Macaca mulatta: one gene and its partners. The protein of the gene in region 5 purifies or fractionates together with the protein of the main gene of each other region. This does not show direct contact. Links are inferred from orthologs where the notes say so. Each region holds a gene or a part of one and is shown on either strand. Other genes may lie near its edges.

Evidence for each region.
Region 1: the proteins of VIM (region 5) and GAN purify together in Homo sapiens (affinity purification with mass spectrometry; 3 studies listed by BioGRID and IntAct, counting the BioPlex papers as one, with this or other methods). This does not show direct contact. The link is inferred for Macaca mulatta from reciprocal best matches to the Homo sapiens genes VIM and GAN.
Region 2: the proteins of VIM (region 5) and NES purify together in Homo sapiens (affinity purification with mass spectrometry; 3 studies listed by BioGRID and IntAct, counting the BioPlex papers as one, with this or other methods). This does not show direct contact. The link is inferred for Macaca mulatta from reciprocal best matches to the Homo sapiens genes VIM and NES.
Region 3: the proteins of VIM (region 5) and SYNC purify together in Homo sapiens (affinity purification with mass spectrometry; 3 studies listed by BioGRID and IntAct, counting the BioPlex papers as one, with this or other methods). This does not show direct contact. The link is inferred for Macaca mulatta from reciprocal best matches to the Homo sapiens genes VIM and SYNC.
Region 4: the proteins of VIM (region 5) and XPNPEP3 purify together in Homo sapiens (affinity purification with mass spectrometry; 3 studies listed by BioGRID and IntAct, with this or other methods). This does not show direct contact. The link is inferred for Macaca mulatta from reciprocal best matches to the Homo sapiens genes VIM and XPNPEP3.

Annotation. Positions count from the first base shown.
Region 1 is NC_133425.1:76,690,221-76,696,621, reverse strand, and holds the start of GAN (gigaxonin), read right to left. Parts: upstream 3,433-6,401; 5' UTR 3,286-3,432; coding exon 3,119-3,285; intron 1-3,118. UniProt on the Homo sapiens protein: Probable cytoskeletal component that directly or indirectly plays an important role in neurofilament architecture.
Region 2 is NC_133406.1:110,246,777-110,252,852, reverse strand, and holds the start of NES (nestin), read right to left. Parts: upstream 3,644-6,076; 5' UTR 3,501-3,643; coding exon 2,718-3,500; intron 1,586-2,717; coding exon 1,461-1,585; intron 1-1,460. UniProt on the Homo sapiens protein: Required for brain and eye development.
Region 3 is NC_133406.1:208,180,815-208,186,337, forward strand, and holds part of SYNC (syncoilin), read left to right. Parts: intron 1-2,978; coding exon 2,979-3,103; intron 3,104-3,266; coding exon of another isoform or gene 3,267-3,315; exon of another isoform or gene 3,316-3,343; intron 3,344-5,482; coding exon 5,483-5,523.
Region 4 is NC_133415.1:10,675,177-10,681,278, forward strand, and holds the start of XPNPEP3 (xaa-Pro aminopeptidase 3), read right to left. Parts: upstream 3,704-6,102; 5' UTR 3,633-3,703; coding exon 3,569-3,632; intron 3,374-3,568; exon of another isoform or gene 2,744-3,373; intron 1-2,743. Other genes in the region: ST13 (hsc70-interacting protein), read left to right, coding at 4,248-4,357. UniProt on the Homo sapiens protein: Catalyzes the removal of a penultimate prolyl residue from the N-termini of peptides, such as Leu-Pro-Ala. Also shows low activity towards peptides with Ala or Ser at the P1 position.
Region 5 is NC_133414.1:18,786,061-18,792,229, reverse strand, and holds the start of VIM (vimentin), read right to left. Parts: upstream 3,822-6,169; 5' UTR 3,677-3,821; coding exon 3,114-3,676; intron 2,450-3,113; coding exon 2,389-2,449; intron 1-2,388. UniProt on the Homo sapiens protein: Vimentins are class-III intermediate filaments found in various non-epithelial cells, especially mesenchymal cells. Vimentin is attached to the nucleus, endoplasmic reticulum, and mitochondria, either laterally or terminally.

The DNA of each region.
Region 1 (6,401 bases), on a different chromosome or scaffold from region 5:
GAGCTACCATGCCAGGTCATAACATTGCTTCTAAACCATAGAATCACACCAGCACTTATGTCAGTTACCAACACTAGGCCAAACACAGACATTAAACAAAATCAGAATTTCATAAAACTTCAGAGATCACCGAACTTTTGAACATCCAATTCACAGATTAATGACATCACAGATCTAAATGCTTAAGTTTCAAAAGGGAAAGATAAGAAACATCAAGTTCTAGAATACATATATACATTTTGTTTCAATATAATTCTCTAAAGGGCTATTCAAACAAAACAAATACATTATAAAAGCCTAATATTACTGGTATTAAAATTACCAGTAAAAATAAAAAATTAACAAATTTATTTCTAGTCAGTAATACAGATTCATCAAATTACTATGAAACAGCTTTGAAATTGATAATTTTTTAAAAATCTCAAGACATTCTATCACTTCAAAAGCCAAATAAACTTTAAGCAATTAATCTGTCACTGATGAAACACGTATTGACTGATTCATGTTTACCTACAAAATGTAAAAAAAAAATCTGCCTTGCCTTTAAAGATGGTTGAAAATGGAAACCAAAATGAGACAGTATATAAAAGTGCTTGATAAGCATTTTAATTATAAGATACTGTAAGCCAGCTAACAGAGTTTACACAGAGAGAACAGTGAAATACAAGTGATGCTCTAACTTGGTAGGGTAAGAGTAGTTAGAAGGCTAGGTGCAATTAATTCGGAGTCTAATCCTAGTTCAACCATTAAGTACTAATAACCTCATAACACAAGTCACTAAAGTCCACTGAGCCCCTATTTTCTTATTTAGAAAGTGAAAGAACTGGACTAGAGATACTTCCTAATTCAATGGGTACTACCTTTGAAAACCTGGGAACAGACCTATGATGTGTCAAAACACTATTACATATTTCTTCACAGGTGGGTCAGTGATTAAATGAGAAGACTCATTTTTATCCCTCACTCATCAGATTAGTGAGCTGAAGCCTTGTCATCTACCAGCAACTCACAGCTAACATGAGTAAAAGCTGGAAGCACAAAGCTGGTCTTCAAACTCTGAACCCAGTGCGTTTCTCAATTAGGTATAACTCAGTGTCTATCTACTATGAAAATGTAATGGAGTCAATTTGCTAATGTCCGAATTTGCTGTGGTAGAAAGAAAGGCAGTCATTCATTCAATACATTAACTGATAGGCACTGTTCTTTCTGGGTGCAAAGAGTAAAGCAGTGGATAAAAGAAAACACCGCCGGGTGCCATGGCTCACGCCTGTAATCCCAGCACTTTGGAAGGCCGAGGAGGGCAGATCACGAGGTCAGGAGTTCGAGACCAGACTGGCCAACATGGTAAAACCCCGTCTCTACTAAAAATACAAAAATTATCCGGGCGTGGTAGTGGGTGTTTATAATCCCAGCTACTTGGGAGGCTGAGGCAGGAGAATCGCTTGAAACTGGAAGGCGGAGGTTGCAGTGAGCCGAGATCACACCACCGCACTCCAGCCTGGGCGAAAGAATGAAACGCCGTTTCAAAAAACAAAACAAAACACCACGACCTCATAGAGCTCACACTGTGGTTGGGAAAGACCATCAACGTAAATGTGTAAAATACGGGGTACATCATAGTGGTAAGTGCTACGGAGAAAAATGAACAAGGATAGCAAGCAAGGACAAGGCGATTTGCAATGTACTTCTTTTAAGCCAAACGGATGCCATTTAAAGAACTGTAACAATAACGCATCTAAAGTAGTTTTCTTCAGCATTTTCCCAAACAGGGAAGATGGCCTGCTGATTCCAATTTGAGATTGGTTGCTCAAACCTCTGAACTGCCAGCTAGAAGCTGTCTGTCACATTAGCAATCCCAATTCTGTACTAACGATGATACCTCGGCCCCCACTCCCGCCCCCCCACCACTCCACACCCCTCACCGCCAAAGAGCGCAAATGGATTTATAAAACAAATCCAGGAGAAACCAGAAGTTACAAGAGCGCTTGAACTGCTTCTAAGTTAGCACAAATGTCTCCCCAGTTCAAAGGTTAAAGTGCAGCGTTTGTGGTGGTTTTGCTGGGACAAAGCGCTAAGAATACACATCATTTTGCTTTTTCTGACCTGTCAATTGTAGTGATATTCTCTACCATTAGCCTATATTTAACCAGCTTACTGGGCAGTTTCTCCAGTTTTTAGCATTCCCCCCTTCCCTTTTATTAAAACAGCAACCTAGTTTGCAAGAAGGTTGCTAAAAGAAAAGATAGCCTTCTGCAAGATCTGATATACTTGTATAAGCACTGTCTTATCAACCTTTTAATTAACCTGGTTAGTTGAATTGGCAAATCAGGTTAAGTTTTGCTTTACTAAAGTATTAAAATGCCCTTAGTCGCAAGGCTCTCACGGTCCTCGGGTTGTAACAGCATCCTGAGAATTCGCCACAGTTTACTTCAACGTGTAACTCTTCTTTTAAACAGTTACCAGAAAGGAGCGGAAAAGACACGTTTGGCAAGGAGAAGAATTTCGCCCGGGGGATCTGACTACCAACCCAAGGAGAACTTCGAGAGGGTTTTCTCTGCCAGCACCCCGCGAGGCGCTGTCGGTCCGGCCTCCCAGCGGGCAGGGCGCTCCCGGCCGGGTTGGCGGCGCCGGCCCAGCCCCCGAGCGTGAATTCGGAGGCGACCGGCCGGCGAACTTCAGCTGGGACCGCGGGCCCGGCCAGGGCGAGGGGGCGACTCTTCCCCAGGGCTGCCTCGCCCAGCTCGCAGGTGCGGGTCCCGGCCGGCCCAGGACGGGATCTGGGGGCTTCCGGGTCTCCGAGGCCGGGCGCCCGCTGGCGCATTGGGAACCGGGAGGGACAGGGCGGGGGATCGCGGCCTGGGTCCGGGGACAACTCCGAGGGGCGCGGGGGTCCCATGGGGAGCGCGGGCCCGGAAGGCACAGAGGCCGCCCGGGGGACGCGGTCAGCGGGGCCGGGTTCCGGCGCGTGCCGGGAGGGAAGCCACGCCAACAGTGACGCGGGGACCCCTGCGCCGGGGACAGGAGACAGGGTCTGGGGGCCACGCCCGGCCCGGCCGCCCCGCCTCCGGCTCCGGGCAGCAACGCCGCACCCGCCCGCCCGCCGCGGCCCCCTCCCCACCTGATATAGGGACTGGCCGCCGCCAGGATGTTCTTCTGCACCGGGATCTCCTCCCCGTCGAGGACCAGGTGCGCGTCGCAGAAGCGGGACTCCTCACGGAAAGAGCTGAGCGCTCGCAGCAGACGCGCGGCGTGCTGAGGGTCAGACACGGCACTGCCCTCAGCCATCGCGGCGCCCGCTCCTCTGCCAGCGGGTCCGGCTCCCGACACCGCCCGGCCGGACCACTCGAGCCGCCGAGTCCCGCGCGCGCGCCCGCCCGGCCCGGCTCTCCGCGCTCTGAACAGAAGCTGGAGCCCCCGGAACGCGCCTGTGCCATCCGCGGCGCGCTGGGCCGGCGCCTTTAAGAAGCCGCGTCATGAAGTCATTTCTCCGCGACGCCCCCGCACCGTCGCTCCCCGCCCTCTCTCCCCTGCCGCTGGAGGCAGCCAATCAGAAGCCTCCTTCCTCCGCCCGCGTGACCAGCTCCGCCTGGGTGCAGCGGAAGGTGTAGAGGGATGAGGTAGGTCCCTGCGGCGGTGGAGGGATGTGCGGGCGGGCTAGGATTCTGTGGTTGAACCTGCGGCCTCTGGGGCCGCGAGTTTGAATCCTGGTTGCAGCTCTTCCACTTACTAGCTGTGTGGCCATGGATAAGGTGCCCATCCTCAGTTTCTCCGTCTGCAAAATGAAAACGACTTTTTAGTGGTGTTGTGGACCCATGAGATGACGCATGGAAGCAAGGGCGCAGTCGCTGTAGCTTGCTTTATTTATGAGAGAAAAGGAGCTGCCCAGGTGAGAGCACAAAGACCCGAGAAAACAGACCCAGAAAAGATGGTTTTGGTTGCGGGCTAGGAAGGAGACGTGGCAGATGAAGCTGGAGAAGTCCGAAGGAGTCCTTAAGTTTTGTAGGGCCTCCTTGGTGTGGGAAGGAGGTTAGTTTCTGCAGGGGTGAAGAACCATGCAAGGGTATTTAGCAGAGGGTTTTGTGCAGATCACTCAGCTCCTGCGTGGAGAATAAGGCGGGGATGAATGTGCTAAAGGCGATCGATGTTTAGGTATTGCAGGACTTAAGAGAAGGGAATGGGCACCTGGATGAAAGGGTGATAGGAGGTGGACAAGGGTGGATTGTTTTAAAAGAAATTATGAGGGAGAGGGAGTCAAGGATAAATATTCTGGTTGAGTAACTGCATGCATGTTTGTACCTTTCAGGGAGAGCTAGGAAATGCTGAAGGGGTGGGCAGTAGAGAAGCAGATGTTTAGATTCAGACAGGCTCCCAACCCAGTGAAGATCAAAGCTGTGACAGAAAGGATCTCTGGGCCAGCTCAGCTGGCAGGCCAAGCCCCACAGTATCTGAAGTTTCCCTGGAGGCTGCTCAGGGCACATGGGAGTGTGGAATGTAGCTACCATTTTGTGCAAACGTTAGGTACTCCATAAGCCTCTAAAAAATTAGCAATTTTATGAGGACCTCGGACCAGAAGAATGTGGCCAGCATTCCAGTCAAGACAGGATAGGATTTTCACTGAAGCAGCCCAGTCTTTTCCTTCAACCAACTGAGAGGCTCCAATAAAGTCTTGGGTATTTACCCAGACCAGCCAAGGCTTTGGAGTCACTGGCAGGAATCTGGGTATCTAACTGTTTTCAGAGCAGAAGAATAGGTGGGAAGGGAACGGCTGTGGAAGACACATGCATTTCCACTTCCTTCTGTAAATGCAGCTCAGTACTCCCGGATGCAATGATGTCTAGGATTTGCTTCAAAACACAACAAAGGGATGGGGAAGCAGATGGGAGTGTAGATGAGTCAAAAGTGGCCACAAGTTACTAATTGTTAAAGCCACGTAATGGGGATGTGGAGATTCGTCGTACTGTCTCTATATTTTTGTGGATGTTTAATGGGGATGTGGAGATTCATTGTACTGTTTCTATATTTTTGTGGATGTTGAAAAATATTTTCTTTTTCTTTTTTTTTTTTTTGAGATGGAGTCTCGCTCTATTGCCCAGGCTGGAGTGCAGTGGCACAATCTCTGTTCACTGCAACCTCTGCCTCCCGGGTTCAAGTGATTCTCCTGCCTCAGCCTCCCAAGTAGCTGGGACTACAGGCGTGTGCCACCATGCCTGACTAATTTTTGTATTTTCAGTAGAGATGGGCTTTTACCATGTTGGCCAGGCTGGTCTTGAACTCCTGAGCTTGTGATCTGCTTGCCTCGGTCTCGGCCTCCCAAAGTGCCGGAATTACAGGTGTGAGCCACGACACCCGGCCAAAAAATATATTTAAAAAGGTAAGAAACACACAAGACAAGCAGCTTGGATTTATCTTCTCCATGATACCTGCCCAGGAATGTCAGCTGCCCTGGGAGTCCTGCAATACCTCCCAGGGCAGCTGACATTCCTTTCTCCAAGCAGTTGCTGTATTTTGAACATTGCTCCAGCAAGAAACTTATTGTAATGGGTTTATTTATCCATGTCACCTGCTATATTATGTTTATCGTGGCTCAGCATGATTTCCAGGTGCCAAGCACAGTACTTGGTGTGTAACAGTGCTAACTCAATGTTGGATGGATGGAGGGATTAAAAAAAAAAGAAAAACACCTAAATACCAGACACTTAATAAATGTTTCTTGGGAGGCCAAGGTGGGCAGATCACAAGGTCAGAAGTTCAAGACCAGCCTGGCCAACACAGAAAAACCTCATCTCTCCTAAAAATACAAAATTAGCCAGGCGTGGTGGCGGGCACCTGTAATCCCAGCTGCTCAGGAGGCTGGGGCAGGAGAATCGCTTAAGCCTGGGAGGCAGAGGTTGCAGTGAGCTGATACCGCGACATTCCACTCCAGCCTGGGAGACAGAGCAAGACTCTGTCTCAAAAAAATAAAAAATAAAATAAATAAATGTTTTCTGAACTGTATTCTCTGTTGCTTCATAGTTAATTTGTGTTTGCCATTTTTAAGATAAAAAACCAAGGAGAGTTCTCTACACAATGTAGATATTTGATAAGTACTTATTAATTGCTTGGTGTGCTAGTCTATTCTTTAAATAACAGAGGTTCCAAAACAAAGAGCTTCAGTAATAGGATCACAGTCAGGTAACCAATTATCCGAGTAGGAAGGTTGCCTTAGTTGAAGTAACTGGAGGTGAATGGGGATTTGTCAGGCAGGCTCTTCCAGGTAGAGGTGAACCTTCCCTGTTGTTTTGACAGAAGGAGGAAATGGAATGACCATCAAGAGAAAGGTAGTTGCTGGCTTGAAAGGATCATCTGTGCAACAGGCAGCTAATCAGAAGAAGACCTTATAAATACTTTTGATACCACCCACA
Region 2 (6,076 bases), on a different chromosome or scaffold from region 5:
GCAGAGCTCAGACATAGAAGCAGATTCCCACACAGTCGGACACTGCCCTACACACACGCACACAAGGCTTAGGCTAGCCTCCTCCTCCCACCCCAGGCCGATGACCTCATCCTCTGTGTGGGGGACCGATTCTCATGCTAATTGCTGCCATTGTCCAAGTCACCATCTGGAGGGTCTGAGAAGGAGAGGATTCTGGGGAAGTGGGAATTCTCAGGCCGTTCCCATGGGATGGGCTCCCTCCTCCTTCCCTGGTGGCCCCCAGAGCTAGCGACAGACAAAAGCAAATGAATTCAGCTCCCCCTCTCCAAATCCTTTTCATGCCTCAAAAACCAGCAGTTAAATTCCTCGGGGCCCACCAGACCCTTCCCCTCGGTGGTTTCACTTGGGGTCAGGGCCCTCATCTTAGGATCTCTAAGCACTCTGGATCCCAAGCTCTTCGGTGCACGGAGGTCTTTGTGTCCAGGCCCCTGCCTCAGTGCCCCTTGAACCAATGAGGGGAGCAGGGACCAATCAACTCAACAACTTAGGCTGAGCAGCTACTCCTCTCTGCTTTGCTCCATGATCTCTGAGACTGGTTAGCACTTGCTGTAGCCTCACCTCTGTCCTTCCCAATGCTGTGGCCTTCCTTCTGGGCTTCTCTTCCCTGGTGGTGGAGCCCCTCTCTTCCACATCCTCCCCAGAGCCTCACTGACCTTCCATCTCTGGGCCTTGCCTCCCCTCCTTTCCTGACCTCATATGGCCCTTCACCAGCCACAGAGCCCCTTCCTCAGGGTCCATCAATGGCCCCTCAGCCAACAGGGCCAATTTCCCAGAAGAGACTGCGGGCTTTGCCCAAGGCCACATAGCAAGTGAGAAGCCGCCCCTCCTTGGTCTCAGCCATTTCTAGGAAAACAGAAAATGTGGACGATGAAAGGTTGGGCAGGACCAAGGGCACTAGGGGGCATCAGAGGAGTCAGGCCCCATGACATCCAGGCTAGAAGAGGCCTTGGAAGTCCCCCAGCCCAGCTCTCAGCCCCTAGACAAGGCTGAGGCCCAGGTCAGGTGGCAAGTCAGTGCAGCCACCCCATGCCTGCAATGCCTCCTTTCCGTGGTTGCCAAAGGACATGGCCCCCGGGGTGTGGGCACGCATAGAGTTGGAGCTTTGCCCCTTGGGGGGAGGGTCTGGATACAGTTGCCCCGCACGGGTCCAGCCCCTCTCCAGAGGCTGTCCCACTCAGCAATATCATCTCTCCTGGGGGAATTTCCTGGGCACAGGACATTTTTCAGGTCTCCAACCTACGGGAGAGCAGATGGTTTCAGGCAGGACATGTTTCGGTGTGGAAGTCACTAGCCTAGAGTTACAGAACCCAGTGGCAGCAGAGTTACCATCACCTACACCTCTGGTCCCCTTCAGCCACACAGTCTGCCCCAGCATGTGTGTGCACCTCTGTGTGCCTGGGTAGACAGGGCTCATCTCGTACCTGTACGTGGCCACCTCCAGGCTGAGGGACATCTTGAGATGCGCCAGCTGCTGCCGACCTTCCAGGACCTGAGCGATCTGGCTCTGTAGGCCCTGTTTCTCCTGCTCCAGGGCCTCCACAGCCAGCTGCAGGGCAGGCAAGAGGCAGTCAGCGGAGGGGCTGGGGTCCCTTCTGCGAACCAACCTGTGTCCTGCCCGCTGCTGCTGCCTGGGAAGCACCTCCTGCTCCCTGGCTGACTTCTCTGTGCAGCAGACCCCCGTCTCCCCCACCCTACTCCCTGCCCAGAGAGCCCCCTCTGGATCAGCCAAGATAAGCCCAGGGCCCCTGTCAGCCCTCTCAGCCCTCTCCCACTGCTCCTCCTCTGAGGATGCTGATTAAATGGTAGCACATGTTGCTCAGAACACAGCCCCCACAGGAAGGGGAGGTGATGGGTTATGGAGAGGAGAAGAGGGAAAAAAAAAGTGGAAGCAGAAGGAAAAACGATTAATCAAGAGGCCTGGAGCCTGCAGGACTGGAAGGCAAACAGCCCCAGTCCCCCATTGGTCCCATCTCCCATAGCTGTCTCCTGCTCCTCACAGCAGGCTCCCACCCCCGCCCCACCCAATTTCCCACATGTTCTGGATTCTCTCTCCTCTGAGAGGAGGGATGGGGAGGTGGCCATGGCACCTCTGTGTGGCTCAGGCAAGAAGCTGTTTTCGCAGCTGCTGGTCACATCTGTGCCCTGTGAGAAGGAGCAGCTGTTATGGGCCTCTGGAATGTGCTCCAGGGAGCCGAGAAGCCATGACATGGGAGGGGGCTGGTAACCATTCATTCAGGGCCCCTCACTCCTCCCCTCAGGGGAAGGAGGGCTGTGAGGAACTTGGAGATTCTGAGTGACCAGGCCACCAGACTCAGCGCAGAGGCGATAGTGCTGGGCATCTTCCCAGTAATAGCAGAGCCTGGGGAGGGGCCCGGAGCCCCGGTCATCATCAGAGCCAGACGGTGCCACCCAGAGAGTGGGGGGGGGGGGGTGCTGCTGCAATGAGTCTTGGGCCTGACTGCCCACCCAGGGATGTGTTTTGAGAAGCCCCACCATTCGCACCCTACACTAGACGGGGCTGTAAAAGTCTAGGACTTGTGGCACCAGGTTTCTGAGAACTGGCTCCTGATTCAACAGCCAGCTAGCCCCACTCCCTTCCCAGAAGGTCTCTGAGCTTCATAAGGGACTTTCTGGAGCTTTCTGGAACTTTCTCTCACCCAGGCCCTCAACCTCCTCACCTGGAACTTTTCAGTAGCCCGCAGCCGCTCCTGCCAGCGGCCCTCCAACCTCTGTTCCAACGCTGCCCTGCGCTCCTGGAGGCCTCCGCGCTCAGCCTGGAGCTGCTGCAACTCCAGGCGGCCCTCGCGGGCACCCTGCACCGCCCGGCCCAGCCGCTCGCGGGCCTGGCCCAGCGACGTCTCCATGTGCGCCACGCGCTCCTGATAGCCGCGCACTGCCCCGCGCCACGCCTCGCCCAGTCGCCTTGCCAGCTCCTCCACCTCCGGGGCCGGCGCGGGAGGCCCGCGGGGCGGCGCGGGGCAGCGGGGGGCACAGGCAGCCTGTGCGTTCAGGCCGATGCGCTCTTCCTCGTGCGCCAGGCGTAGAGCCTCTAGCTCGCGCTCCAGCTCTGCCGCCTGTCTGCTCAGCCAGGCCCGGGCGCATTTCTCCGCCTCGACGGCGCGCCGGTTGCGGGCTACCTCCTCCGCCGTCCGCTCCCGGGCCAGCCGCAGCTGCTGGCATCGGCCCACCACGCCCTCCAGCTCTTCAGCCAGGTTGTCGCGCGCCACCTCGGCCGCGTGCTTCTCCCGCCAGCGCTGATCAACGAGGGCCCGCAGGGCCGCCAGCTCATCGTCGGCTCGCGCCCGCCAGGAGGTGTCCCCGGATTGTGCCCGGAGCCCCCCGAGCTCGGCGCTGAGCAGCTCATTCTGCTCCTCCAGCGCCTTGACCCGGCCCAGGTAGGCCTCCAGGCGCCGATTGAGCTCCCACATCTGAAAAGACTCCTCCCCCATGCAGCCCTCCATCCTGCTCGTCTGACCCACTGAGGATGGACAGACGCTGGGCACCAGGAAAAGGGAGCGGCTCACAGAGCTTTTAGGACCGAAGAGAAAAGAGACCGACGGGGACAATGACGGGGCGGGGCGGGGTGGGAGTAGCCTGAGCGACTGAGAGTCGGGAGTGGGAGCGAGGCTATTCATACTCCCGCCAGGCGGGCGGGAAGAGGGGCGGGACCCAGGTCTTAACCCCTTAGAGGTCAGAGAGTGGCAGCAGCCTCTGTCCCTGCTTCCCCAGGGTGCTGGAGAGTGGAACCAAAGAAGAAGCCCTACCATGGAGAATCGGATCTGAGGGTGGTGGCTTTCTGAGGGAGGAGGCCGTGAAGAAGGGTCACAATCCGCAAAAAAGGCAAATAATGCACAGAACCGAGCCTGTGGGAGTGGGGGTGCCAGGACGTTCCAGCCTGGAGGGAGTGCAGTCTCAGTTACTCGACACATCCGAGAGAGGTATCACTTACTGAATTCCTCTAACTCAGTTTCTTCATCCATAAAATGGGAGCAGTGATGGAAATCGCATGGCTGCTGAAAGAAATGAATGTGGCCAGGTTTTTTTTTTGTTTTTTGGTTTTTTTTAAAATAACAAATGCTCATCCTCCTGAAATACTGGAGAGAGTACTACAGCATTACAGAAAGAAGCTGGAGACACTGCCTGGAAAACAAGAACAAATGTCTGATATTGGGACACACACACACACACACACACACACACACACACACACACGCTATTGCCCGAGTCTCCATCAGAAAAGGGAGCGACCAGGTGAAGGGCCGTCATGGGCTTAAGAACGTTTGTCTCTCCATCCTTTCTACAACTCTTCCCTATAACTGCGATGTTCAAACATCCACTTTAGAAAGTTCTGTTCTTGGGGAGGGGCCCCTTCTCCCGCACCCCCTGCCAGAGAATTCTGGGTGGTGGACGCCCTCTGGCGGCTTTCAGAAGTGGAAGCAGCAGGAAGAGGCCACTCTTTCCTTCCTAACCACTAGCCCAAGTTTATCCAGCCTTTATGATGTGCCCAGTCGTGTTCTAACATTTTACTTCCATGACCTGACTTAATCTTCAAAACAGCCTTTTAAGGATTCTACAGTTAGGCCGGGCGCGGTGGCTCAAGCCTGTAATCCCAGCACTTTGGGAGGCCGAGACGGGCGGATCACGAGGTTAGGAGATCGAGACCATCCTGGCGAACACGGTGAAACCCCGTCTCTACTAAAAAAAAATACAAAAAACTAGCCGGGCGTGGTGGCGGCGCCTGTAGTCCCAGCTACTCGGGAGGCTGAGTCAGGAGAATGGCGGGAACCCGGGGGGCGGAGCTTGCAGTGAGCTGAGATCCGGCCACTGCACTCCAGCCCGGGCGACAGAGCCAGACTCCGTCTCAAAAAAAAAAAAAAAAAAAAAAAAAAAAAAAAAAAAGGATTCTACAGTTTATGAAGTAGAGAGCTCACCAAGGGTGAGAGTAGTAAGGAAGGCTCTCTGGACGGGGCGCATCCTTGAGCTGGGAGGTAAAGGACAAGTGGAATTTGGGGGATTTACAGTGAAGGAGAAGCAGGGCTGGGGAGGAGATGCAGGGATAATGAGACAGAGGGGATCTTCCGGGAAGGCATTTCTGATCAAGCTGCTAAATCCAATTTAGCTCAAGTGTTAATTGAGCACCTACTATGTGTCAGCACCAAAGAGATTGCTGGGACTCTGTCCCAGCCCTGGAAATGCTTATAGTTTGGTGATGTGAGGTCAACAGTGATGGGCACTCATAGTCTGGTGGTGGAGGTAAACATAATAAGATGACTAGAATACTTGATCAGCCTCCAAGGTGCTGGGGACAGAGCCGGGCAGCACAAAGGATGGAGGGGTTTTTCTGGGTAGAGGGTACAGCCAGGTCAATAACCAGGAAGTCATCCCATCAATACCCCCTCCCCTTGAGGAGTCTCTTAAGGCCCCCATCGCTGTCCCCAGGCCAGTGGGGCTTTGGAATTCACCACCAATATGTAGAATGGAGGCCAGGGAGGGGTTAGTGACAGGAGATTGACTAAGAGTCAGTGCAGGCCAGGAGGCTGAGGATCTGGGATGCCCAGGCTCCTTCAACCTTGCATAACTTCATAAATCCTGCTGTTTGGTTTGGGTTGAGGTCTCCCTAGAGCTGTGGCCAGCAGAGCTGGCTTGGAATCTCTTCCTCTCTTTCTTTTATTTTTATTTTTTATTTTTTTATTTTTTTAGTAGAGACGGGGTTCCACCGTGTTAGCCAGGATGGTCTTGATATCCTGACCTCGTGATCTACCTGTCTCGGCCTCCCAAAGTGCTGGGATTACAGGCTTGAGCCACCGCGCCCGGCCTATTTTTATTTTTAAGAGGGAGTTTTGCTCCGTTGCCCAGGCTGAAGTGCAGTGATGTGATCTTGTCTCACTGCAAACTTCACCTCCCAGGTTCAGGTGATTCTCCTGCCTCAGCCTCTCGAGTAGCTGGGATTACAGTTGCCCGCCACTATGCCAGGCTAATTTTTGTATTTTTAGTAGAGGTGGGGTTTCACCATGTTGGCCAGGTTGGTTTGAACTGC
Region 3 (5,523 bases), on a different chromosome or scaffold from region 5:
CTCTGTGGCTCAGCACCCTCACATGAAACATGAGATTAATAATACTCCCATATCCATAGGATTGCAAGGAATGAACTAGTAAGCCACTTTCCCACAATTCCATGACTATACATTGACTAGACCTCTTCTCCCCCTTTAACTCTTACTCATCCTTTAAACCCGTTTCCCTTCTTCCTGGTTTCCCGACAGGTAACCCTCCTGTTTTCACAGCACCTGTTACTTCATACTATTGCTGTAGCAGTTTCACTTCTGAGTTGGGGAATGTATCCTTTCTGTCTTTGGCCTATGTAGAAAATTAAAATTGGGAATGCTGTCAATGCAAGTGCTGGGGCAACTGTAGACAGACATGTACTGGCCCTTGAGAAGTTAGTATGTAGGTTAGAAGGTGGCAAAAAACAAGGGACTGTTTGTCTAGGTGAAAGAAGTGGCAGGAACACAGGCAGAGATCTGAGTTGGTCAGGGTAGAGTAGTGCTATCACTGCAAGCCACAAATGTCATTTTAAATGTTCTGGTAGCTCTATTAAAAAAAAGAAACAGGTGAAATTAACTTCAATGCATTTTATTTAACCCAACACATATTTCAACATGTAATCAGTATCAAATATTGACGTATTTTACATTCTTTTTGTGTGCTGTCTTAGAAATCTGCTGTGTATTTTACACTTACATCACATCTCAATTGAGACTAGTCATATTTCAAATGAGTCATACGTGACTAGTGGCTTCGGTACTAGTAATCCAGGGCTAGAGGAAAATGTTCATATGGAAGAGTAACAGAGGTTCAAGTTGGAGGTAGGGGTCAAACTAGAGGGGGTCTGAATGCCACTAAATAAAGTGGAAAGCCTTTGAAGGACTGTGAGTTGACTGGAAAGTTAATCTAGTGGTTAACACAGGATTAAGAGACCATCCTTAATGCCACTGTAGCGATCCTTTCTTCGCTGCTGCACTCTGTCACAGCTTATCACTGGTGGTGCGGACTGCTTTTCCAAGCATGCACTTTTGTGCCTTAACAACAGGTCTGGTATGTAGTGAGGACTGAGAAATCAGGACAGCAGTATGCAGATGCTTCCCTCTTTAGACGACACACTCTTAGGCATGGCTGGGCACTAAAAAAGGTCCTTGGGCCGGGCGCGGTGGCTCAAGCCTGTAATCCCAGCACTTTGGGAGGCCGAGACGGGCGGATCACGAGGTCAGGAGATCGAGACCATCCTGGCTAACACGGTGAAACCCCGTCTGTACTAAAAAAAAATACAAAAAACTAGCCGGGCGAGGTGGTGGGCGTCTGTAGTCCCAGCTACCTGGGAGGCTGAGGCAGGAGAATGGCGTAAACCCGGCAGGCGGAGCTTGCAGTGAGCTGAGATCCGGCCACTGCACTCCAGCCTGGGCGACAGAGAGAGACTCTGTCTCAAAAAAAAAAAAAAAAAAAAAAAAAAAAAAAAAAGGTCCTTGGACAATGTTGGTGAAAGCTGAGATACAGCCAGAGTATCAAACAGTGCAGGCTGATGTGCCACAGGTATGATGTCAAGTATGACTCAGAGGACAAATTTTCTAGATCCTTTTCATAATAGCATTTACCCCAACTGGACTCCTTAGTATTCTTTAAAATGAGGTAAAGTTACTCTCCCTTTAAAAGATACCAACTTCACCCATTCCTCTCTTCCCGACTCCCTCCCGCCTCCTTAAGGATCCATGCCAGCTAGCAGGTCAACCAGAGACTGACTTGCTGACATCGTCCTTACCTTATTCCTCAGGTATATATCATAGGCAGGGACAATTTACAGAATGCATCCCAACCTGGTTTTGTAAGAATAAGAAAATTATCTGAGGGCTCCCAAGGGTCTCCTGTGCATAGCATCTTCATCTTCCAACTTAGAACAACTAAAGAAATTCAGTCTTTTTGTGTAATGAAAAAAGGATGAGCTGGACACAGTGGCTCACACCTGTGATCCCAGCACTTTGGGAGACCAAGGTGGGGGGATTACTTGAGCCCAGGAACAAGACCAGCCTGGGCAACATAGCGAGACCCTGTCTCTATAAAAAAAAAATAATTAAGAAGAAAAAAGGATGCAGGAAATTAGCAACTAGGATAGCCAACACCCTCACTAAAGCATCAATTTCCACATGATGTTAAGGTAAGTACCAAGTAGAAGTATCTCTGACTTTAAGGAGCTTTGGACACAAAAACTTTTCCTTAAACAAGCCATTTATTTTCTAAACATGGACTTCCACTAGTTGTGTAACTCTCCTAGAATTCTAGCCAATATTTAATAATTGTTGCCATACTTTAAGTAGTATATATATATATATATTTTTTTTTTGAGACGGAGTCTCGCTCTGTCGCCCAGGCTTGGAGTGCAGTGGCCGGATCTCAGCTCACTGCAAGCTCCGCCTCCCGGGTTCACGCCATTCTCCTGCCTCAGCCTCCCGAGTAGCTGGGACTACAGGCGCCCGCCACCTCGCCCGGCTAGTTTTTTGTATTTTTTTAGTAGAGACGGGGTTTCACCATGTTAGCCAGGATAGTCTCGATCTCCTGACCTCGTGATCCGCCCGTCTCTGCCTCCCAAAGTGCTGGGATTACAGGCTTGAGCCACCGCGCCCGGCCAAGTAGTATATTATTAAAAACTACCAGTTATCTTAAACTTGCACATGGAGGGAGAAGTATATGAAACTCTCAGTTCACTAACTAGACCAAAATCCTCCTCAATGACACTAAGGTTGTAATACTAAAAAGTCCCCATCACCCTCCCAGGAGTCTATTAAGCTGTGGTTAACAGACAAGATTCCTTTTAGGTCACCATTTTCACTTTTTTTTCAAAGACCAACCTCTCTGAACCTCTGTTTCGTAACCTATCATATAAATGCTGCTCAATACTGCTACGAAGATTAAACAATGAACAAAAAAGTGTTTTATTTAGAGTGGACAATGTCAGGTTTTTATTGTTTGGCTCATTAGAAATGTTCTTGGCCATCTCATGCAGGAACAGCTGGAGGAAATGGAAGAACGCCAAAGGCAGTTAAGAAGTGGGGTGCAAGTCCAGCAACAGAAGAACAAAGAGATGGAACAGCTAAGGCTCAGTCTTGCTGAAGAGCTCTCTACTTATAAGTCAGTTTCCGCTGCTACACAAATCTCATCTAACACTGGCTGAGGGGATGGTGGAAGGGCTTAGGGAAAATTTTAATTTAGAGTCAAAAACAAGGATTTGGGAAATGATTTTCAAATTGTGCTTATCCACAAACACATGGAAAATGGCTCTCTTCTTTTAAAGGGCTATGCTACCCAAGAGCCTGGAAGAGGCTGATGCTCCCACTTCTTAGGCAGGTGGAATGGAAACACAGTCTCAAGGTGATCTTTGTGGAGAGAAGAGTGGTGTTTGCATTGTTACTGCTTTCCTAACAGTACTAATTAATGTCTTAAAAACAACAGGCCGGGCGGAGTGGCTCATGCCTGTAATCCTAAGACTTTGGGAGGCCGAGGTGGGCAGATCATGAGGTCAGGAGTTCAAGACCAGCCTGGCCAAAATGGTGAAACCCCATCTCTACTAAAATATAAAACTTAGCTGGGCATAGTGGGCATAATCCCAGCTACTCAGGAGGCCAAGGCAGAATTGTTTGAACCGGGAGGCAGAGATTGCAGTGAGTCAAGATCACAATACTGCACTCCAGCCTGGACAACAGAGATTCTGTCTCAAAAAAACAAAACAAAACAAAAACCCCCCAAAAAAAACAACAACAAAAAAACCCTTAAGTGTGTGCCTAATGACAAGGGGATAACAAAAACCTCCAAAATGCCTGGGTCAGGCATTCAGAGTTCATTTGGAATGTTTCAGTTTCTAGTAGGACTCAAAATATGCCCTGATTATCACCACGAATTCTGTGGCATCTAGGCTTTGGGCATCTTGTTTCCTCACCCTACCCTACCCACCTGCTATTCTGTTTTCCTTACAATAGCAGGGAAGGCAGTTGTGCTATCAAAAATAATAAACATATCTATCCATTAATTTCCTTATTTAATATTCAAAGGCTGTGGTTTTGGGTAGAAGCAGAGATGTTCATATTACACAGACTTACCTTTTTTTTCCTTTTTTTTGAGACGGAGTCTTGCTCTATTGCCAGGCTGGATTCAGTGGTGTGACCTCTGCCTCCCGAGTTCAAGTGATTCCCCTACCTCAGCCTCCCAAGTAGCTGGGATTACAGGCATGCACCACCACGCCTGGCTAATTTTTTGTATTTTAGTAGAGACGGGGTTTCACCATGTTGGCCAAGATGGTCTCGATCTCCTGACCTCGTGATGCACTCACCTCAGCCTCCTAAAGTGCTAGATTATAGGTGTAAGCCACCGTGCCTGGCCCACACAGACTTACTTTTAGACACTGACAAAACTGAAGGCATCTTTCTGACCAATCACCTATTCAGGATCCCTCCCCAAATGTTTTACTAGTATATTCTCATAAAAGTTCTAGAGTCCCTTAAAGAAACTAAGGATAAAAGTCCGTGTCAAGTTGTATATTATACAGATGCCTATATATTTTATTTATTTCCTAAACTTACATCAAATTCACAAGTAACTTTTTTTTTTTTTTTTGAGACAGAGTCTCGCTCCACCCAAGCTGGATAGAGTGCAGCGGCTCGGTCTTGGTCTCGGTTCACTATAACCTCCGCCTCCTGAGTAGCTGGGACTAGAGGTGTGTGCCACCACGGCCGGCTAATTTTTGTATTTTTAGTAGAGACGGGGTTTCACCATCTTGGCCAGGCTGGTCTTGAACTCCTGACCCTGTGATCCACCAGCCTCAGCCTCTCAAAGTGCTGGGATGACAGGCATGAACCACTGTGCCTGGCCCACAAGTAACTATTGTTGCTTTTTCTAATTTTCTAGGATATTATTATTTTTTAAAATTTCTTTTTAGTAGAGATGGGGGGTCTTGCTATGTTGCCCAGGCTGGAGTAGTGGCACGATCTTGGCTCACTGCAACTCTGTCTCTTGGGTTCAAGCAATACTCCTGCCTCAGCCTGCTAAGCAGCTGGGATTACAGGCATGAGCCACCACACCCAGTCTTGAGGATTTTCTTAAACTGTGTTTGAATCCACATGACTGATAATATGCCTAATGTTTGTGAAATTATAACCTTGCAATTGAAGTCAATGATCTGCTAGCTATCTTTGTGTGGATCAGATTAAAAGTACAATCTGGAAAAGACAATGACTAATCCAAAGAAATGAAACTAAAGAATTTCAGGCATTGTAATTATACCTGTGGAAGTTAACGTACCAGAGAAAAACGTTTAAGTATCCCTCCCATCACCACCACATAGGTTACCATTCACTCTATTTCACAAACAGGAGGCATCCAAATATTTGCTAGGGGAAAGTCATCCCTGATCATCCATAAATCACACTGTAACAACCTCTCCTCAACAAAGCCTGCAGTAACTAAACCTCAGAAGTTCATTGTTACAAACTTTTTCTTTTTCTTTCAACCTTACAGGGGCTGTTTAGAAATATATGGCCAAATCTGTAACCCAGAAA
Region 4 (6,102 bases), on a different chromosome or scaffold from region 5:
AAATGATTTTTTTCCAATGGAGGTACAGCATTTGATGCATAACTTAAAGGTACTACAAATTAAAAATTAAAGTATAAAATATTTTAAGTTAAAAATAAACTTAGTTGGGTGCAGTGGCTCACACCTGTAATCCCAGCATCTTGGGAGGCCCAGGAAGGAGGGTTGCTTGAGGTCAGAATTTCACGACAGTCTGGGTAACATAAAGAGACCTGTCCTCTATGAAAAAAATTTTTAAAAACTTTAGCTGGGTGTGGTAGTGCGTGCCTGTAGTCCTAGCTACTCAGGAGGCTGAGGTGGGAGGATTGCTTGAGCCCAGGAGTTTGAGATTGTAGGGAGCTATGATATTGCCATTGCACTCCAGCTGACAGAGTGTGACCCTGTCTCTAAAGAAAAACAATAAAAAATTAAAAAAATTTAAAAATGGGTAACATTGTAAATTTTATGTAGTATATTTTACCACTCTTTTTTTAAGGCCAGTCTTACCCTGAACTCAGAGCAGTCTGTATGGTAGGCCATCACTGAATCACTCCAGATAGGAAACTTTCTATTTTTGTTTAGAGTTTGTACACAAAATCTACAAATACGTTACATTGAAATACCACGTATAGCCATTTTAATTTAGTCATGTTGGGAGAAAAACAGATGGGTTACAAATACACCAGATATCGAGCAAATCGTTTGAGTTACGTCTAGCAGCACTAAAACTTATTCACCTTTGGCCAAATACAAATACAAAATTGGAAAAAAATGATAATATCTGCTATTTTTAAAAGACAGTTATAGTCAAGAGCTTGTGTTTTGTATCGCTATTTGATTTTTAGTGGGCAGATGGGAGAAGGAAAGGTTATTTATTCTACAGAAGAGACTGGGGACAATTCATATAAAAAGTTTATTTTCAGAAAATAAAATAATAAAAGCCCAGAGTATTTTAAATGCTTCTTATATAAGATGTGATATTTAGTAAAGTTTATCTGTTATCATTTATATGGTAGTAAAGTTGAAAAAAATTGCAATTTTCCAAAAACTAAAGCAAAAATCAGTGTCTCAGAAAATTTAAGAATGTAATGACATGCCCTGTAGTCCATTTCTTCACTCTTAACAGAAAACCAAAAATTTAGATTTAATCATCTTACTCAATAGCTTAAAATTCCTCAAAGTTTTCCCACCATCTAAATGAAAAAGCTAATTGTTTCTTAACATAATATACAAGGCCCTCCATGAGCCAGCCACCAGCTTTTTCCCAACTTGATTTCCTATCAGCTCCTTGCGCCCATCTTACGCTCTAGCTCAACTGTTTCCAAAATCTGTTCCAGGGATACCAGTTCAAGACTCATCACAGAAAAGGGGTCCATGGTCAAATACATTTTTACACATTTTGCAAATTACTGCTGAACACATCTCTTAGAAACCTAGACTATTAAGGGCTGGGTGCAGTGGCTCACGCTTAAAATCTCAACACTCTGAGAGGCTGAGGTGGGAGGATCACTTGATCCTAGGAGTTCAAGTTTACCCTGGTCAACATGGCGAGACCCCATCTCCAAAAAAAGATTTAAACTATTATGTACATTATGAAATGCAGCATTCCCCAAAAGTATTTGATCACAGAATCATTTTCGTGTAATGCCTACTATTTTGTCTAAGAACATATTTCAAAAAAGCTTTTCCTAAGCCGGGTGCAGTGGCTCACGCCTGTAATCCTAGCACTTTGGGAGGCCGAGGCTGGCGGATAATCCGAGGTCAGGAGTTTAAGACTAGTCTGGCCAACATGGTGAAACCCTGTCTCTACTAAAAATACATAAATTAGCCAGGCATGGTGGCGGGCACCTGTAATCCCAGCTACTCGGGAGGCTGAGGCAGGAGAATCGCTTGAACTCCGGAGGTAGAGGTTGCAGTGAGCCAAGAGATCGCGCCATTGCACTCGGGCCTGGGCTAGAGTCAGACTCTGTCTTTTTTTTTTAAAAAAAAAAAAAAAAAAGGCCGGGCGCTGTGGCTCAAGCCTGTAATCCCAGCACTTTGGGAGGCCGAGACGGGCGGATCACGAGGTCAGGAGATCGAGACCATCCTGGCTAACACAGTGAAACCCCGTCTCTACTTAAAAAAAAAAAAACAAAAAAACACCAAAAAAACTAGCCGGGCGAGGTGGGGGGCACCTGTAGTGCCAGCTACTTGGGAGGCTGAGGCAGGAGAATGGCGTAAACCCGGGAGGCGGAACTTGCAGTGAGCTGAGATCCGGCCACTGCACTCCAGCCTGGGCGACAGAGCAAGACTCCATCTCAAAAAAAAAAAAAAAAAAATCCAGCCATACTACATGATTGCAATGCTTAGTGTTGGCCATTCCTTTTCAGAGTTCTGTGTCTTTACAAGCGTTCCTTCTGGTAGTACGGCTTTTAGTCATGTTGGTGACAGCCTTTCAAATAAAAGCAAATTCCAGGCCGGGCGCGGTGGCTCAGAGAGGAGGGTGGATCGCTTGAGGCCAGGAGTTCGAGATCCACTTGGCCAACATGGCAAAACCTGGTCTCTACTACAATTACGAAAATTAGCCAGGCGTGGTGGCACGTGCCTATAATCCCAGTTACCTCCGGAGGCTGAGGTACGAGAATTGCTTGACCCCAGGAGGCAAGAGGATGCAAATGAGTAGAGATTGCCACTGCACTCCAGTCTGAGCGACAGAATGAGGGCCTGTCTCAAAAAAAGACTGAACAATTGCACATCTTTCTTTTCACCTAATCCCACGGAAACTTACGTCTTTCTGTAGCTTTACTATGAGAACTGAAGAACAAGTTCTGTGCACTGGACAATAACTTTTTATTTTTTATAGTAAGAAGTCGATGTAATTAACATTCCATTTTAAATGAATTCAAGTATATCAACATAAACATATGCCAAGACATAGCTTTGATGTCAAATACCACACGTTGTTTATATATTGGCCCAAAAAACTGAAATACAATCCAATGGCAGATCCGCCTGCAAGGAAGGTGATTCAGTTTTCACTGATTAAGCTTTATGTTCATCAGATTAATTGCTCGCAATAGAGGACACCCTACAAAAAATTATTCTCCTTAATCCTTCGTCTTGTCTTTGCAAACAGGACTTTCAGACACAGAATGCCCCAGGAGTATTTCCAAACAGTTACCTTTCCTAAGAAGAGCTGCTTAAATAATTTGTGTTACTAAGACACGCTTCGTGTATATTCTGGAGCAAGCTCTCATGCCTAACAGAAACAAGAGCTACTTGATGTGAGACACTTTGTCACTTATATCACTTATTTGTGATAACTGCCACAACTTCGGAGTCCGAGTAACTTGGAAGACAGCCCCTCTGGGGAATGGCACACTTTTTTCTCTGCAGTCGTTTCGGCTTCACAGAATACCTGAACGGTAGAGAACACACTGGGACCACCCCCTTCCAGGAGCAGCCGGTATAGAAGAAATCCGCGGAGAGCACAGAGGGTTGGGGAGCGGAGGCCCCACCAGGAGAAAGGTCGGCCGAAACAGGGATCGCCTGAGACCAACTTGGGTCCCTCCAGGGGACACCATGGGAGGAGACCGTGGGAGGAGAGTCTAACCTGAGAAACTGCGGATGTTTGCTACAGCGGGAACCAGCTTGGGGGCTGAGAGCAGCCAAGGCATGACGGCCTAACTCACGCGTCGGGAAGAGAAAGAGGGTAACCGCCTGCAGCGCCGCGTCGCCAGGAAACCAGGCCAGCCCCCCCCCCCCGCTTCCGGCAGGCGTCGCTCCCGGGCCTTCCTTGCGCGGCGGCGCAGGGTGTGACGTCATGCCCCGAGGTGGGACCGCCTCTCCGGTTCCACACCCTTGTTTAGGTCGGGGTGTTGAGTTCTACTCGGTGCGCGCAGCCACACGATGTGTTCTTGGACGTTGCTCCCTGGAGGGGATGCTATCTACCGCCTCCTTGCAGGCGCCCATTTCTGGGGTTGGCCCATCCAGGGAGCTGGTTCCTAGTTAAGAATATGAGAATGCATGCGCAGGGAGGCAGGCAACAGCACGAACAGCCACGCTTCTAGAAGGTTCTAGGGAGCGCGCAGGAGCAGCGCAGAGAGAGTAGGAATGAGCAGGCGGAGGACCCGGGGTCACGAGACCGTTGGGTGGGAGGAGCCAGCGGCCGGGGAGGTTCTGGTCTGTTCTGCCTCGCGGCAGCCGCCCCCTTCTGCGCGGTCACGCCGAGCCAGCGCCTGGGCCTGGAACAGGGCCGTAGTCCCCCCAGCTTCGCCCACCACCTCTCTACCATGGACCCCCGCAAAGTGAACGAGCTTCGGGCCTTTGTGAAAATGTGTAAGCAGGACCCGAGCGTTCTGCACACCGAGGAAATGCGCTTCCTGAGAGAGTGGGTGGAGAGGTGAGACCCAGGCCTGAGGACCGTTGGGGGCGGGGAGAAGCACGGCCCCAGGGGGAGCCGGGCGGGAGCTGGCTCCGGCCGGCGGGCGAGGCGGGGTCGCAGCCCCTTCTTTGCCCGGGAAAGGGAGGCGACTTCGATGGGTCATGGAGGATCGCGAGCCCTGGGTAGTACAGGAGCTGCGGCGAGCCGGAGGCAGACCGGGTTCCTCGCACCCTGAGGTTGCCAGGGGTGTATCTTGGGCGAAATAAAAAAACGGATACGTCGACACTGGAGACGCGAGGAGTGAGAACTGCAAGACTTAGCTTTTGCGTGGGGTGGTTTTTTCTTTCAGTCTCGTGTGCCCTGCTCAGGTCTCATTGGTATATAGCGGTTCTTTTACGCACTATCCCTTTACATTGTGTTATTATAATATAACACTAGTAAGTTAAAAGTTACAAAATTATTTAGTAAGTTAGAATAAAAATGATAACTGTAAAAATGATTGTCTTTACCTTACAGCGTTTCTAGCTGCGTAGGATTATCTTGAGAATCACTTTTTATACCTCCGTTACTTGGCAGTGTTGTCACTCCAAACACTTCTGAGAAAAATAATGTTTTAAGTCCTGGCGTGTTTCCAGGATGTATTCTTGTCTTTAACTGTAGAGTACTTCGCTACGTGCAAGGAGTTAATTGCCAAGGCATTGTGCCTGGTGCTAGGAAACAGTATAAGTACTATTTAGGGATACAGACGAATAAATACGAAAGTTCGTTTTGATATTTACTATATAATAGTAATTAGCACTTTACGTATTGAAGGAGCCCCGAAGAGAGAAAAAGTGAGAAGGAAGTCTTCCCTAAGATGACTTTTTAAAAAGTTACTACTAGTGGATAACTGCAAAGATGACATACAAATTGCACTAAACAGGGATAAATAGCAACTATGCAGACCATTGCGACTCCTAAGAGGTGCTATTGTGAACATTATCTATTTAGTGATTTTTCTCTTTTAGAGACAGGGTTTGGCTGTATCATCCAGGCCGCATACAGTGGCGGGATCACTGCAGCCTCTGATTCCTGCGCACAGACGATCCTCCTGCCTCAGCCTCCCAGGTGGCTAGCAGTGCAGGATTGAGCCACCATACTTGGCTAATTTAATTTTTTTTTTAGAGGTGGGGGTCACGTTAAGTTGCCCAGGCTTGTCTTGAATTCCTGGCCTCAAAGGACTCCCCTGCCTCCCAAAGTGGTGGTATTACAGGCGTCAGCCACTTCACCCAGCCTGATATTTTTATATGGGAAGATGAGCTCATGATTACCAAATAGCTCAAAGAATATTAACAGGCTGGTTCTAAGGAAAAAACTCGTTGCAATCTGTCAACGTTGTATATTTTTTTCCTCTTAAGTAGTTTTTCAATCTTTAACTCCCCACCAATTGTCTTAACTACTGAAAGACTTTTACTTATATGTGAAATTCTGAGACCATTTAATATTATTATGTTAATAGTAACTATGACTTGGTAAGAAGTCTATTTTGCAAACTCCTCAACCGGGAAATGTCAGGATTAGGAATTGAGGGCTAGATTTTAGTCGTATTCTCTATTGAACAGCTTGATGATCCAAAAGCCTTTAAGATATTTGTATGCTTTTATCCTAATTATAGGAAAGAACCTGCAGTTAATAAATTCTTTCTAAAATTCCAGGTAAAGTAAACAAGTATCACAGGAAGAAATAGCTAGCTCCAAGAGCTGACTGCACTTTAAGTGGATACA
Region 5 (6,169 bases):
GTTGAGGCAGGATAATTTCTTCAACCCTAGGAGGCAGAGGTTGTAGTGAGCTGACATAGCGCCACTGCACTCCAGCCTGGGCAACAGAGTGACACTCTGTCTCAAAAAAGAAAGTAATTCCTTTAATTTAATTACCTTTTAAATCTAGAAAATCTATGCCACAACATTGTTAAGATTTGTTTTGTAATTTCATGGAATAACATGATGATAGAGGTGGACATATTTTCATAACTTCATGTACACTTGAGTACATGGAGAACAGAAACTTGTGCTTCAAGAGTTTTAGCTTTTTTTCCCCACTCAAATCTTTTGAAACTTATCCTTAGGCTCCAAAGCAAATATGCAATCATGTGGCATCCATTGTACAAGGCTAGATTTATATTCAATAATAACCCAATTCAGGATATGCTGCCAAAGATTCAGTTCAGGAAAAATTGGAAAAGAAATGTAACTCTGAACTGTATTTTCTCTGCTTTCTCTGATGGATTTTTCTTCTAAAACTCCTTTGACTCATCCTACAAAGGCGTGTCTTTTTCGCTTGCCACTGTATCCGTTCAGTTGGCCTGTTTCAGAATGACTGGTCAAACTTGCAGAGAATGAAACTACATGAAGGATTTTTGCTGATTCAGCTGTCCTTCTATGTTTCCATTTGTAAAGCTCAACATTCCAATTCAGAACATGTAATCTTGCAACTAAGATTTTATTTCCTCTCAAAAGGATGCGTGAGGATTGTTTATCTTGTCAGCAATTATATTTGGAGTTCAGTTTATAGCCTTATGGTCTTAAACTGTTGAGACTTTTCTATCACCTTAGTGGAAAAATGAATGAAGAGTGGGTGATAAAAAGATCAGACTTGATGAAAACATTCATTTTTACTTGCTAAGCCCTAAGAAATACATAAAAGATATTTTACTAATCTCCAAAGAAAGATCAATGTGGTATTACTATTACATTGAAGAGAATGAGGAATTTTGCTTAAAGAGAATGAGGAATTTTGCTTAATCTCAAAACAGAGGATCTTTTGTATTGATGTTGTTTTACGTTAACTCACTACTCTGCAGAAAACATTACAGGTATGATAATCAAAAATGCTCAAGGACTAAAATGAACCACACATTGCTGTGGTTAAATTAATTTGGTAAATGTATTTCAGTTTCAAAATGTTGTACTACACTATTCATCTGAGAGTGCTTTGTAGTTAATCCCAGTAAATATTCCAGGGAATAAAACTATAGACTATAATGGGGATCTTCTGGCTTCTGGATTCCAATTTTAAGTCAAAAATTCTGTAAGTCCATCCAATTTTGGTGGGAAAAAAAAAAAAAAAAAACGCACAAAAACCCTTTAGTTAAAATTGAATTTTTCAGCCTTAGATTTATTACTATTATTATTATTTTTTATGGCGAGAGTGCTAAAGAATACAAGAATCCAATCAAGAAAGGACTTTCAAAATGTGAGGTATGTTTGTAGCTTTAAAAACTTTTTACATTACATACTTCTCAAGTCTGGGCCAGATATTAGATAACGGATGTTAGCAAATACTTGTGTCCAATTAGAACCGTGCTTACATCACTACATATTCAATAAGAATGTAGCCTGCTGCAAAGCTTCCCCGGGAACACAAAGACTCCTATTATTTCTGTCCACAGCCACCACATTTGCCAGAATGTCTGTATCTACATTCCATAGTGAAGCCCATAGAAACCATTAATACCCCTCAGCCGAGGGGACAGATGGCTCCTTTTCACCCTTATTAGATCACAAAATAGTTGTGCATAGTGATACTTCCATCGAACTTTAATGCCACAATAGAAGTTGCAAAGAAGAAAAGAAACTTGCTGGCTCCATTCCAGTTGGAAACTAAGTTTTCTTATCTTCCAACACGTTTTCCATTTTAAACTGTAGGGCATAACTGCGCTTTTTGTGACCTTGTAAAAATTAAGCGACTTGACTTTGGCAAACCACAATCTAAAATTGTGACCGTTCGAAACCAGAAGGTCAATGTGTTGCAAAACTGTGCAACATTTTGCAAACAAAGTAAAAAGTTAAAAGATTTTTCTTTATGTCCCAAGGAACGGCTTAGAAATCATTCAAGGATCGCTTGAACCCGGGAGGCAGAGGTTGCTGCTAGCCAAGATCTCGCCACTGCACTCCAGCCTGGGCGACAGAGTGAGACTCCGTCCCCCCAAAAAATCGTCCAAGCGGTTTTATTAATATTTTTTCTAATAATGAGAAGCTCCAATCTGTGGTCTTCCCGCCACTAGAGGGCTTTACGCGCAGCCCTGAAGTTTTGCACTTTTTAGACGTGGGTTAAGCAACTTTTAGAATTGCTCGTGGGTTGTGTTGGGTGGGGTCAGGTAGCTGCGAGTGGGAAGAGAGCCTACAAACCTGTCTGAAAGATTGCAGGGTGTTCTCGGCTTCCTCTCTCTGAAGCATCTCCTCCTGCAATCTGAAACAGTTGCGCATTAACCAAAGGGGAACTGGGAAACCGCCAGGGGCGGGGCGGCCACACCCAACCACCACGTAGCCGCGCTGCGCCTCCAGAGCCGCTGCGCCACCTCGGCGCAACTAGCGCTTGCAGCTTTCAGGCCTGTGGCCCTCGGCAGGTTTCAGTGGGACCTTGGGCACCGCGCAGAGGGGCAATCACGGTCGCCGCACAGACCTGCAGGACAGCGCCGCCATACCCACCCCCGAGAGACCATTCCTTTGTCTCGCTCCCTCCACCGCCTTCCCCTCCTTCCTTCGCCCGCCGGGCGATTGGCCGCCCGCCAGAAGGGGCAGGAAACTTTATAAAAGTTTGGAGGACTCGCTCTCATTGTGCCCAAGGGCCTTCAACTGCACACAAAGTGGTAGTTTTAAGAAATCTGTAACTTGAAACGGAGCGTCCTTGGGCAATGTGTGGGGACAGAGGGGGAAATGCGAACTGCAAGGTCTGGGTTCTGGGCGGGGCTGCGCCGCCACAGCCACAGCCGCTGCTCTCCGCAGTCCCCCCGGCAGGCCTCCCCCGGGCCTCATCCCCAAGGGCGTGGCAGCCCTGGCGGGGGCGGGGGGCGTTCCCCTCTCCCTCCAGCCCCCTCCCGAGGCCCAGCGACTTGCAATGGGCGCAGCCTTACTTCTCCCGGAGGCGCATGATGTCCTCGGTCAGGTTGTCGCGCTCCACCTCGACGCGGGCTTTGTCGTTGGTTAGCTGGTCCACCTGCCGGCGCAGCTCCCGCATCTCCTCCTCGTAGAGGTCCCCCAGGCGCGACTTGCCCTGGCCCTTGAGCTGCTCGAGCTCGGCCAGCAGGATCTTATTCTGCTGCTCCAGGAAGCGCACCTTGTCGATGTAGTTGGCGAAGCGGTCATTCAGCTCCTGCAGCTCCACCTTCTCGTTGGTGCGGGTATTCTTGAACTCGGTGTTGATGGCGTCGGCCAGCGAGAAGTCCACCGAGTCCTGGAGGAGCCGCACCCCGGGCACGCTGCTCCGCAGGCGCACCGCAGAGGAGCGCGTGGCATACACGCCGCCCGGGGACGAGGCGTAGAGGCTGCGGCTGGTGCTGGGGCGCAGCGCGCTGCCCAGGCTGTAGGTGCGGGTGGACGTAGTCACGTAGCTCCGGCTGGAGCTCGGCCGGCTCGCGGTGCCCGGGCCGCCGAACATCCTGCGGTAGGAGGACGAGGACACGGACCTGGTGGTCATGGCTGCGGAGGGTGGCGATGGGCTGGGCTGCGGCGGTGGCGCGGACTGGCTCCTAGAGAAGAGGCGGACGAGGGCGCGGTGGGTGTGGGTGGTGGGAGCGCGGCTGAGTCTCTGGCGCGGGGACCTCGGAGCGAGAGTGGCAGAGGACTGGACCCCGCCGAAGGCGCTGTTTTTATAACCGCATTAGGAAGGAGGGTCCCCTCCCACTGCCATCCCAGCCGCGGAGCGCGCCAGCCAATAGGGACCTGGCGAGAAGCGGGGAGGGTGGGCGGGTGGGGTGGGGGCGCCCTCGAGCCTTTCTCCTCCAGGGCCTGGGACTGGGCATGGTCCCGTTACTTCAGCGCTGGGCTGGGACTTTTGGGGCTTTCCGGATGATAGTCTGAGCTGGGCTCACCCTGGGGTGCTGAAAAAGGCGGGGTCGCGCGGTGAGGGGGGATCCGCCCGGGACTGAACCAGAGGGGTCCGGTGGCACCGCGCCAGAGGGGCGTGGGAGGAAGCGCGCGGCTGCCTCGGGGCTGCGGTCAGGTGGGGAGACCCGCGAGCAAAGGAGCGGGAAGAGGGAAGAGTAAGGGATCCGGCAGATCTGAAGTCGCTGAGAAAGAAACAAAGAGCGCCTGAGATTGGAACGCGGGATGGGGGCGCGCACAGCTCAGGAACGTAGGGCTCAGGGCCCCGCGCAGCCTCGCTCACCGCCCGCTTGGAAAGGGGGGCTGCTCCGGCCCGCGCCTCTGTCGACTTGCCTTGGCTGGGAGATGTTGGGGGGAGGGGAGGCTCTATCGAGGGACCTAACGGACTCAGTCCAGCTTCGGACGGCGGGAGTTGACAGGCGGCGGTGGCAGAGGAAAGCCCGAGGGAGAGGGGTGGGGTCGCTGAGTCACCGGTGGTGACTCACCGCGCCCTGCTGTCCCGCCGATTGAGGGCTGCTAAGCGGTTTAGGGGAAACCGTTAGACCAGATTGACTCGAGTCTCCGCGGCTCCGCGCGTGCTGCTGGTTCCCAGTCCTACCAACTTAGAGCTGGGCCATCGCTTTGATGTGTGCGGTGGGGCCCTTTGGGGGACAAGAGCGCCTCTAAGTTCTTATAACTCGCTAAAGCCTGACTTTGCTCGATGTGTGGACTTTTTGTTAGTAAGAAACTTCTTCAGCCTTTGAAGAGGCGCCATACGTGGGCCTCCTGGATCACGATTGCACGGGGAAGGTTTTTCTTGCAGAGTCCCCGCCCCCGTCCCTCCGGTCTCCTCTCGCTCTTCCCCCTCCCCGCGTGAAACCACACCCAACTTTTTAAACAAGATCTGAAAATTCTGGGTGAAAGAGGAAACTCAACGTCCGTAGTTTCAAAATCGAACTCAGTGATCAGTGGTTTTCACCCTGGTGGAAGTTATTAAAGGTATAATTTGAGCCAATGAAATAATTAATTAGGTGTTGCTTAAAAACCCCAATTTGATTAATGAGTTCAAATGAAAGGCAATTATATAACACAAATGACAGAATGTTTGGCGGCAATAGATTTGTGTGTTAATTTTAGGACAGCCAATGCACAGTGCAGGGTTCACGGTGATTTGTCTGGGAAATGTCACAGGTCCTGTTTTCCAGAAGAATTCGTGCAATTGACCTTGGGGTGAGGGGGGATAAAACTGTCCACGGAGCAAAAAACTTCGTGTCCCAGGCACGGAGGGAGTGTTCAGATTCGGTCATCTTAACCTTTCTAGGGAAATCACTCAATTCAAGGGCTGTTGTTTCAATATTAGTAACGAGCAGAGCTGAGTACTCACCAGCCAAGGGAGATAAAAGGCGGCTATGTAAATCAGTCTTCTTGTGATTTAGTAGCAATTGAAAAAGCACAGTTTTTTTGAGTATTTAGATTTATGGTGTACTGAAAGGATTAACTACAGAACCACTGTAAAATCGATTCTGCAGTGGATAGGAGGAAAAAAAATGCATTTCTTTCTTTCTTTCTTTTTGGTGGGGGCAAGGGGTACTGCAGGTTACCTGGTATTTAAGAAAAATAATTTAGAGGCCAATGAAGAGCTTCTTCTGACTTCTTCGGACAAGCCTCTTTTAGGCAATATTTTGTTTACCTTATCCCGGTTCGTTCTTGCAAATGGTGCTGCCAAGGTGGAATTACAGGACTCTCTACTGCCCAGCTCGCCTGCTGGGGCTTTCTTTTATTCTTTCTTTCACTGGGAGGCTGCAGGTCATTCCCCAAGAGCATTCCTGGGGCTGGGTGCCCTGGAGGACAAGCCTATGCTCTGAGTTACATCTTGCTTTCTGAGAGCCCTTTATTCAAGCCACTGCTCAGCAAATGTCACCATTGTGAGTTTGCCTGGAACCCTTAGAATGAGAAAGGCGATCTCCGTATGGGAGGAAGAGAGTGTGGAACTCACTTCTACATGCAATGCCGATCCCAGGGCAATGCGGTGGCACTGTCAGGGGACACTTGCTGACTGACTCACTATGGAAAAGGAGGACAAGGCATTGGCGCAGTGTGGCACTGT